Linked DNA regions of Arabidopsis thaliana. The protein of the gene in region 1 interacts with the protein of each later gene in a pairwise test. Each region holds a gene or a part of one and is shown on either strand. Other genes may lie near its edges. The genes, in order: PGRL1B and PGR5.

Region 1 (5,811 bases):
ACGATCAATTACCAAATACCTAATATGACTTTATTTAAAAACTAGTTGAGAAGTTAAATTTGTACTAAACAAAATATATACTTTGGGTGCCTAAAAACTTAAAATCTTTGAAAATTTAAGCTATCCAATCAAAATAGTACATATTGAAGGGGTTGTATAATACTCAGTCCACAATTCATTTGGTTTTATTATATTATAGAAACAAAAATAATAATTAACCAAGATAGGAGAAAAAAAACTTTGAAAATAAAATAGAAAAGCAAAGAGTTCAAAGTAAACTCTAACCAAATTAAAAGATAAAAAAAGATATAAAAGCATTTTATATTTGGTTAGTTCACCAAATAAAATCTCAAATTCATCGAGTACATCCAAGATTTGGGGAGATTTATGTTGATTAGTCCATTTAAAGTAAAAAAAAAATGTTAGTCTATTCTGACAAACTATTAATGTTAGTAGATGAATAATCATGCTATGCATGAGTTGTTGTTTTGAAAATTGTTAAAAATATGTTGTATGTTCTTTGTTGCTAGTTTGTGTAGTTACATAAATATTTAGATTCATCTTATATAGTTACAATTTTTATGCTTTGATTCATCTTTTGACGTAAAATATCAAGTATATATTTTTCATGTGTAATATAATTATCTATATACATAAGATCTTAATCTTTTTTTTGCTATCATAAATACATAGAATAACAATATAAGATATATTGATATAATAGTTGTAATTATAATTGAGTTATACATTAGCATGATTTTGTATTTTTCAATTTTTTTGAAGAAATAAGTTAATAGTATTGATGGAAGATTTAATGATGTGGAGGACTTTTGATTTTCTTAACTTAATTTTGCTAAAATTTTTATTGAATAATATAAAAACACATGTAATTTTCTTGTATGATAATGTGACATTCATATGGAGAGAGTTAACCAACTTTCATATATATATTTTTTTCGATTCAAAGTAATTCTATGACATAAATTTTGTGAATTATTTGTGCATTATAAACTTAAAAATTTATTTGGTTATTTACATGGGACACCCGTGTATCGAAAAGTAGAGAGAAGATTGAACAAAAAAGCTAACAAACTTTATTTATCTCAACAAAATATTGTTACAAGCGTTAGTTAGAACTGTGTATCATTAAGCTTATATATATTTGAACTTAAGCTCACTTAATCAAAGTTAACCAAATATTAAACCAACATTAAACCAGCGAACCATACATCATAATACGCCTCTCTCAAGTCTTTATCTTCGAAGTGTCTGGTTTCCGAAGATAAAAACATCTTCTTGAGTAAATGATGAAATGACCCCGGATGTAGTGGCTTTGTGAAGTACAACTATCCACAATTTTCATTTATAATATCTAATGAGAGCATATCCGACAATGTTATAAACATTTTCTATCGATTTGTTAGTGGTTTACAAACCACCAATGACAATTTATTTCATGATAGATTCATTGTGTTTTAACTTATGGACAACCAGCATCACAATGATTGTTTTTGTCTATGGTTTGAGTCACAAGTCCGATTCATAATTGTTTGTAAATAAATATTTTTTTGTTGACTAATAAATATTATATTACAACTTTTTCTTGCAAATTACTAAAACTCAAGATTCTTTTTCATTTTTTCAAACATATATATATATATATATATATATATATATATATATTACAACAAAATTCTCTTATAAATTATTAAAATTCAAATTTTTTTATCGCAATTAGTTCCTTAAGAGAACTTATAAATAAATTAAGTCTTACATACAAAATATGTTTTCAAAAGAGTACAATGTGTTTGTTGGTTTTGCTTTCGTGCAATATCATGAAATATGTTTATGGTTTCTTAATTATTTATACCAATAGGTGATTCACCACATGATGATGCATATGTACAATTTATCTATTATAATGAGTTTACTATCTTGACTCCCACAAATCAAAACCCTTATTTTTCTTTACCGTTGTCCGTTGAGATGATAAAATAATAAACTAAAAATGATTGTACATATTTTTGTTATGATTTGAGTTAGAGTTTTTTTTTTTCGTTTATTTCAATTCTACGTAAAAAAAATTATATAAAGAATTCATTTTATTTGTGACTAATAATATCTAAATATTATAATACAATATTTGTTTTTGGTAATTTACCAAAATTCAAGATTTTATTCTTATTTTTTTCAAAATCATGACGTGGAACGCTAGACGATCCAACTTCGCTTATCTCCTCCTAATTTTCCCTCCAATTACACGTTGAAACAAAACAAAACAAAAAAATCAGAAGGAACCTGAAACTATCTCACACAGTAAAAAACATCACCATCTCAATTCTCAACCACACAAATCCAAAGCTTCTAACTTTTTTTTTTGTTCTTCGTCCCGGACAAGAGAAAACAACGATCTCACTCAATCATCGGCGTGAGGGATAAAGACGATGGCTTTTACTCTAACAATCCCTAGATTTTCTGCAATTTCTCGCAAACCCATCACTTGTTCTTCTTCGAGGACACAGTGTCCTGCTCCCTTTACCCATGGACGATCGATTTCTCTCAGACGAAGACTTACCTTATTGCCCCTTAAAGCTTCTACTGATCAATCAGGTCTCGATTTTTATTTGCCTCTTTAAAGTTTCGATTTTTTTATTTGTTTTTGCCTCTGATCTTTCTTTGGGAACGAAATTGGTGTGAAAAGTTGAGATTTTTATGATCATAGAAGATAATTAGATAAATGATTTCCAATTTGTAGCCTTTTTAGGATTAAAATTTGTGTGTAGCTTAAGGTTCTTAAGTTATTAACTCATCGTTATGTGATCGAAACAAAAAAGCACTCAATCTTCAAATTTAGTTGAGAAAAGCTGTTGTATTGTAGCTTTGATTTTGTCTCTGATCATTGTTTGGGAACACAGTGGCTTTTGAGAAAGTTTTGATTTTATTCAATCATAGAATAAAATCACTCAAGCTTTAATTCTAGTTAAGAAAAGTTGTTATATGGAACTTTTTTCCTCTGTGGATTTTTAGTTTTTATACTCTAATCCACTAAAAGATTGCTCCTTGAGAGTTTCCTTACTTCTTAAAATCATTTTTATGACTTGTCTTCAGGTCAGGTGGGTGGGGAAGAAGTTGATAGCAAGATTTTACCTTATTGTAGCATCAACAAGAATGAGAAGAGAACTATCGGTGAAATGGAACAAGAGTTCCTCCAAGCGATGCAAGTAACACATCAAATAAAGTGTTTTTATCATTAGTATGGGTTTATCTCTATATAATCGAGGATTGTTTCTGTTTCTTTTCTTTTGCAGTCGTTTTATTACGAAGGCAAAGCGATTATGTCTAATGAAGAGTTTGATAACCTTAAAGAAGAGTTGATGTGGGAAGGAAGCAGTGTTGTCATGCTAAGTAATGAACACTTATGATTTATAGTTTTGTCAATAATCCATTCGCCTAGGTTCTTGATTCTTGATCTAATTTTATCTATGTATTGTAGGTTCTGATGAACAAAGATTCCTTGAAGCTTCAATGGCTTATGTCTCTGGAAATCCAATCTTGAGTGATGAAGAGTATGATAAGCTCAAAATGAAACTAAAGGTTCTTAATCTATTTATACTTACAAATACTATTTCTTAGTTTCATCCATCTTGTTACATGTGTAATTTGGACAAACGTTATGATTGTTTCTTTGGTTTCTGTAGATGGACGGCAGTGAGATTGTGTGTGAGGGTCCAAGATGCAGTCTTCGTAGTAAAAAGGTAAAAACTCTTAATTGTTCGGATAGCTCATATATTCTTTGGACATTACAGAACATAACATTAGATTCATTGTTTGGGACAAACTCTAGAGATGTTATAGACTTGTGGACCTCCTTGATTATGCAGGTTTATAGTGATCTTGCCATTGATTACTTCAAAATGTTCTTGTTGAATGTACCAGCAACTGTTGTTGCTCTCGGACTGTGAGTACCTCCGGTTCTGTTCCTCTCTCAACTTTCAAATCACATGATCTTAGCTTATGTTAGTTAGTTTAAAATTGTTGTTTTCTTCAATTGTTCTCCAGATTTTTCTTTCTTGATGACATTACTGGTTTTGAAATCACGTACCTGCTCGAGGTAAAACCTCTTTCGACTATTCTACTATGGTTTGGAGAATATATACTCGTAGTAATTGTTCCAGTATTCATGCAACTGATTAAAAAACAAAAACAAAAATCTGCAGCTTCCGGAACCATTCAGTTTCATTTTCACATGGTTCGCTGCGGTGCCTGCAATTGTATATCTGGCGTTATCACTCACCAAACTGATCCTCAAAGACTTCTTGATCTTGAAGGTAAAAACATTAATCATCTTCCAAGATCAGTTCATGAAGTGGAAAAATAAAAGTTATAGAACTAAATCTTGTTTTCTCAGTATCAAAAATGCTTAAACAAGAGATTAGACTTGAGATAATAATCTATTTTGTGCTAAACGCTACAAATTTGGATTGGTATAGTGCCAAATCCTACGAGTTTTATGCGATTATTATGAAATGCTTTTAATTTTCGTGGAACATATCTTTCACAGGGCCCTTGCCCAAACTGTGGAACAGAGAATGTATCTTTCTTTGGAACGATACTATCCATCCCCAATGATAGTAACACCAACAATGTCAAATGCTCAGGGTAAGCTTCTCAGCTGTAGACTCGAATCGATCACACAAATTGTCTACAACGTTTCTTGAAGTCTTATGATTCTTCTGGTTTTTAGCTGTGGAACGGAGATGGTCTATGACTCAGGTTCTCGTTTGATCACATTACCAGAAGGAGGGAAAGCTTAAATCTAAGAGCCAAGGTTTAATTCTTATCTCAACTTTGATTTCTGATGAAATCTTTCTTGATTCAATGGAAAATTCAAAATTTTAGGGTTTTCTTTTTCTCAGGGTTATGTAGAAGTGTATGTAAAATTAATACTAACAAATGAAGAAGGTGGAGAAATTGAAGAAGAAGGAGAAAAACCAAAGTTTGTATGCTGTTTTGTATAATCTTCAGATCTTTTCATGTAGCTCTCATTGGCTTGTGTTGTGTTTGTAAGTAAGTGTGAGGCACATTCAAAGAAAAACATCATATGATTACTTCTTTGAGAAACTTTGCTCTCATTAGGAAAGTAAAATAATTCAAGAAATAAGCACAACCTTGTGTAGTTTTGAAATAATACTTGTATTTTTTTTGTTGTTATAATTTTGAATGTGTTCCATAATATAGTTTCGTTAATCCATGTGAAAATCAAATATGATGTTCTAAATCATTTATAGGTGCTAGTCAAGGCCAGTCCAAGACTTTTTGACTTTTGTGATTCTATAGTTCATTTTAGTATGATTTCTATTAAGAAGCTGATAGATAGATAAAAGTGGGGAACATGTAATAAGAGTTAAGGATTATTACAAAGGAAAAAGTCATACAAATATTATAGCATGCCAAATTCTATCTTTTTAATAAGAAAAAGGTGCAATGATGATGATGACATCGTCGTCGTCCCATGCCCTCTATATCATCATTTACCTTCCTTTTTTTTCTCACCGTTTAGACATTTCTAAATGTATCATTTTAGGATCGAAAGAATATAAGCAATTTACAAGACTACAAAGTGTGTATAAAGTAAAATGTCACGAGGCTAGAAGAAAGTAGGATAGTATTCTAAGCATTATAAAACATCGGTCATGCTTATTCATTATTATGTCTTAAGGATTAATAAAAGATACATAGTATATACTATATACTGATCATGTCTGTCCCCAAAACACATGCCAACAAAGTAAAACACAATCAATATACTTC
Region 2 (3,664 bases), on another chromosome or scaffold:
TCTCTTGAGGAGTTGGATATAATCTCTTTCTTCTCACTGAAAGTGGCTTCAAGCCCTTTTCTGAGAACCCTACACTCCCTCACATTTAGTAATGAATTGGTTAATTGGATAGAAATAATTTTTTTTTATTGAAAGATCTGGAGGAATTTCTGGTTTTCATGGTTTGTTGCTTAGGGATAATGAATTGGCTGACTTACTATTCAAAACTTTAGGTACTTGGTCCCAGCTGATTTGACTGTTGGCCAGTTTGTTTATGTTGTACGGAAGCGGATCAAGCTCAGTCCCGAGAAAGCCATCTTCATTTTTGTCAAGAACATTCTACCACCAACTGGTTAGTTTCAAACACGTTCCTTAATCATATACTTTTCCAGTTCAAGGAATCATATCTTTTTCTCAGTTGAGCTAATAGTAGTAGTGTTATCCTTTTATTGCAGCGGCAATAATGTCTGCAATTTATGAAGAGCACAAAGACGAAGACGGGTTTCTATACATGAGTTACAGTGGTGAGAACACGTTCGGGATCTTCTTCTAATGCGCTTGGAATATGTGGATGCATCAGATTATCAATGTACAGTCTGTCTATTTCTCTGCTTGTCTCTAGTTTTCATGACATTGGACGAAGCTTTTGAAACTTGCATGCTATGTTATTAACATGATAAGGTCTTCCGTTCATGGTGTTAATTTGGCTTTATGCTACACTTAATTTCAAACTTAGTCGCTATATATAGTTGAGGTCACTTGGTGTCCTCCTTGAATATTGGCCCGGCCTATTTCACTAGTCGTTGAACCGTTACGATTTCTATCTTCTCAAAGTTAGCTCGACCGTCAAATCTCTAAGCTCTTGCAATCTCTGCTTCTAAGGAACACAAAACAGAGATAACTTTAGCTATAAATATTTAGATTTCAAAAGCAACTTGATTTAGGTAAATTTGTGCACACTCTAGAATAGATTATCATCTGTTACAGATTATTACTGTACAATCCAGCAAAAACTAGGCCTGGGATTTCGGATTAACCCAATGACCGAACTGAACAAACCGTTTTTTTGGTTCTGATAACCGACTATGAAGGGAAGGCTAAACCGATCGGCGAAATTATAATTGAAGTTCGGTTCTCGGTTCGGCAGACATAACCGATCAGTTTTCTCGGTTAATAGATACTATAAATATAAAGATAAAAACATTAGATCTAATCTTTTTAGCTTCTTCTCCGTTTCCTTTTGATCCTCATCCATGGCTATTTAGTCAATTCTCTCTATCTGCATGTGGTTTTCACTATGGTAGCACGTCGGGGCATATTTCGTTACGGAGATATCGTCATCCCTCGCTATCACCGTCACCGTCACAGACGTAGATCTGCTGATTATGAAGAGGGTAGCGGCACCAAGATACCATCAACCCTAATTTTTAATAGGTTTGGATTTTTAGTTATTTTGGGTTTAAGTTTGTTTTTCGTTTTGGCCCAATTATTGGTTTGTAATTATAAAATTTTGTTTATCTTCGCCCATTCTATAATTTTTGTTTTGACCCATTATCTTGATTTTGGACTTATTCGGTATAAACTAACCGAACTAAAAAAAAAATCGGTTTAGTTCAGAGTTGATTTTGAATCCTATAACCAAACCGACCCGAACCAAATCTTTATTCGGTTTAATTTGACAAAATTTTAAAGAACCGAAAAAACCGATTAAACCAAACCGAACCGATTACCCGAATAAACCGAATGCCCAGGCCAAAAACAACTGAAAATAAAAAATAAAAAATGAGATAGGAGAATATTTAATCCGACGGTGGAGAAATGTTGATATAATAAAACGTGATACAGAGGATCATAAACCCGCAACATGAGAAACGTAATAAGTTAAGTCAAAAAAACGAAAAAGCCAGAATCATATTTGTGGCTCTGGTTTCTCCATCCAAACAAAAACAACACCCAAACCTTGTCCACACCAAAATGTTAAACTCAAAATCCAACCACACACACACAATTTCTCTTCCTCTCTACCATTAACATCGATCAGAAAGACCGAGAGAGAGAGGGAGAAGCTGATTGATTATGGCTGCTGCTTCGATTTCTGCAATAGGATGTAATCAAACTTTGATAGGAACTTCCTTCTATGGAGGATGGGGAAGTTCCATCTCCGGAGAAGATTACCAAACCATGCTCTCCAAGACAGTTGCGCCACCGCAACAAGCCAGAGTCTCAAGGAAAGCAATCAGAGCAGTTCCAATGATGAAGAATGTCAATGAAGGCAAAGGCTTATTTGCACCTCTAGTTGTTGTCACACGCAACCTAGTAGGCAAGAAGAGGTTTAATCAGCTCAGAGGAAAAGCCATTGCCTTACACTCTCAGGTTTGCTTGTCTTATAATCATTCTCTTAAGAACTAGTCAAAGAAGCAAAGTTTTGTGGAACTGGGTTCTTTTGTTCTTTCAGGTGATCACTGAGTTTTGCAAATCGATTGGAGCAGATGCAAAACAGAGACAAGGGCTTATCAGGCTTGCTAAGAAGAATGGAGAGAGGCTTGGTTTCCTTGCTTAGGTCTTAAAAAGAACAAATCTTTCTCTCTGCTTGTGTCTGATATATACACTCACAACTCCTCTTGTTGTTCTTGTCTAGATGTATTTTGTCCAAACCTATAATCTTGATTTTTGTTACATTGCCTTTGAGGGTTACTCAAACACACATAACTGCTGCCATTCTCATCTGAAAAGTTGTTCAATAAGGTCTTAGCTGAACTAGTTTTCTCAGTCACATAGAGATACAAAATATGTAATATTGCCACTCTTTCAACAGATTAAAAAGCCTAATCATAACTCTCAAACAATTAAGGGATTGAAAAAGACTGTAAGTTTTGCTTTCTATTGAAGCATCCCTAAGATCGGAGAGGTATTGAGAGCTGCAGTTTTTTAACACCGTGAGCTTACACTGATTACTTCAAGACCCAAGTAAGATTGCATAATATGTCAATAAAGTTGTCATCGTGGAAACTTGATATATATGGAACTTTACCTAGACATTCTTTAACACAAACTCTGTTTCTGCTAGCTAAGCATTCGTTCCCAAAGGTTTCCAGGAGGTTGACTTGTTGCCAGTTGCCTTAACCTTGATTAGGTTGAAAATTTGGGTACGAGTAATGTTACAGAACCACACGTGGGAGGTCACACGTGCGAAATCAAATGGAAGAAGGAATTAATAAGAGGCTGACGCGTGTCGACTGAGGAGTGGCAGACTCAAACATGCCGTTAGGCCCTTCTATATGAGCAATATTCAGCTCATCTTTCTCTTTTATCAATTAATCTGTAAAATCTAGAATCTCTGAGAACTTTTCTAAGCTAGATATCTCACATCGAGACTAGCAGATCCTTGGGTGTTTTATGAACATCGATTGCTCATTGTAATCAGGGATTTATTCTTAATCGGAATTGATTTTACAGTGAACCGGAAAGTTATTTGTATCAAAGGTATCAAAGCTCTGTCTTTCCTTGGAGTCATGGTTCATACACGTTTTCATGATGAGTCGAAGGAGAAGGGAAAAGAGGTGGAAGGTTTGGATCCGATGGAGGAGAGGATGGCGAGGCTGGAGGCGATGATGGAAGCTCATAGCAAAGCGACGATGAAGAATCTGGCTGATATGATGACTGCGATGAGCAGATCTACAGCTCA

Evidence for each region.
Region 2: the proteins of PGRL1B (region 1) and PGR5 interact in a two-hybrid assay, tested with the Arabidopsis thaliana proteins (one study listed by BioGRID).

Annotation. Positions count from the first base shown.
Region 1 is NC_003075.7:7,174,343-7,180,153, reverse strand, and holds PGRL1B (PGR5-like B), read left to right. Parts: upstream 1-2,265; 5' UTR 2,266-2,444; coding exon 2,445-2,610; intron 2,611-2,980; coding exon of another isoform or gene 2,981-3,026; intron 3,027-3,108; coding exon 3,109-3,221; intron 3,222-3,308; coding exon 3,309-3,405; intron 3,406-3,493; coding exon 3,494-3,594; intron 3,595-3,698; coding exon 3,699-3,755; intron 3,756-3,881; coding exon 3,882-3,958; intron 3,959-4,059; coding exon 4,060-4,111; intron 4,112-4,217; coding exon 4,218-4,328; intron 4,329-4,561; coding exon 4,562-4,659; intron 4,660-4,744; coding exon 4,745-4,814; 3' UTR 4,815-4,828; intron 4,829-4,916; 3' UTR 4,917-5,268; downstream 5,269-5,811. UniProt on the Arabidopsis thaliana protein: Ferredoxin-plastoquinone reductase involved in cyclic electron flow (CEF) around photosystem I. The homodimer is probably not involved in CEF.
Region 2 is NC_003071.7:2,080,079-2,083,742, reverse strand, and holds PGR5 (proton gradient regulation 5), read left to right. Parts: upstream 1-1,883; 5' UTR 1,884-2,055; coding exon 2,056-2,352; intron 2,353-2,434; coding exon 2,435-2,539; 3' UTR 2,540-3,096; downstream 3,097-3,664. Other genes in the region: ATG8D (Ubiquitin-like superfamily protein), read left to right, coding at 213-331, 435-532. UniProt on the Arabidopsis thaliana protein: Critical for growth under fluctuating-light conditions. Involved in the regulation of the cyclic electron flow (CEF) around Photosystem I. Essential for the reduction of PGRL1A by ferredoxin and for photoprotection.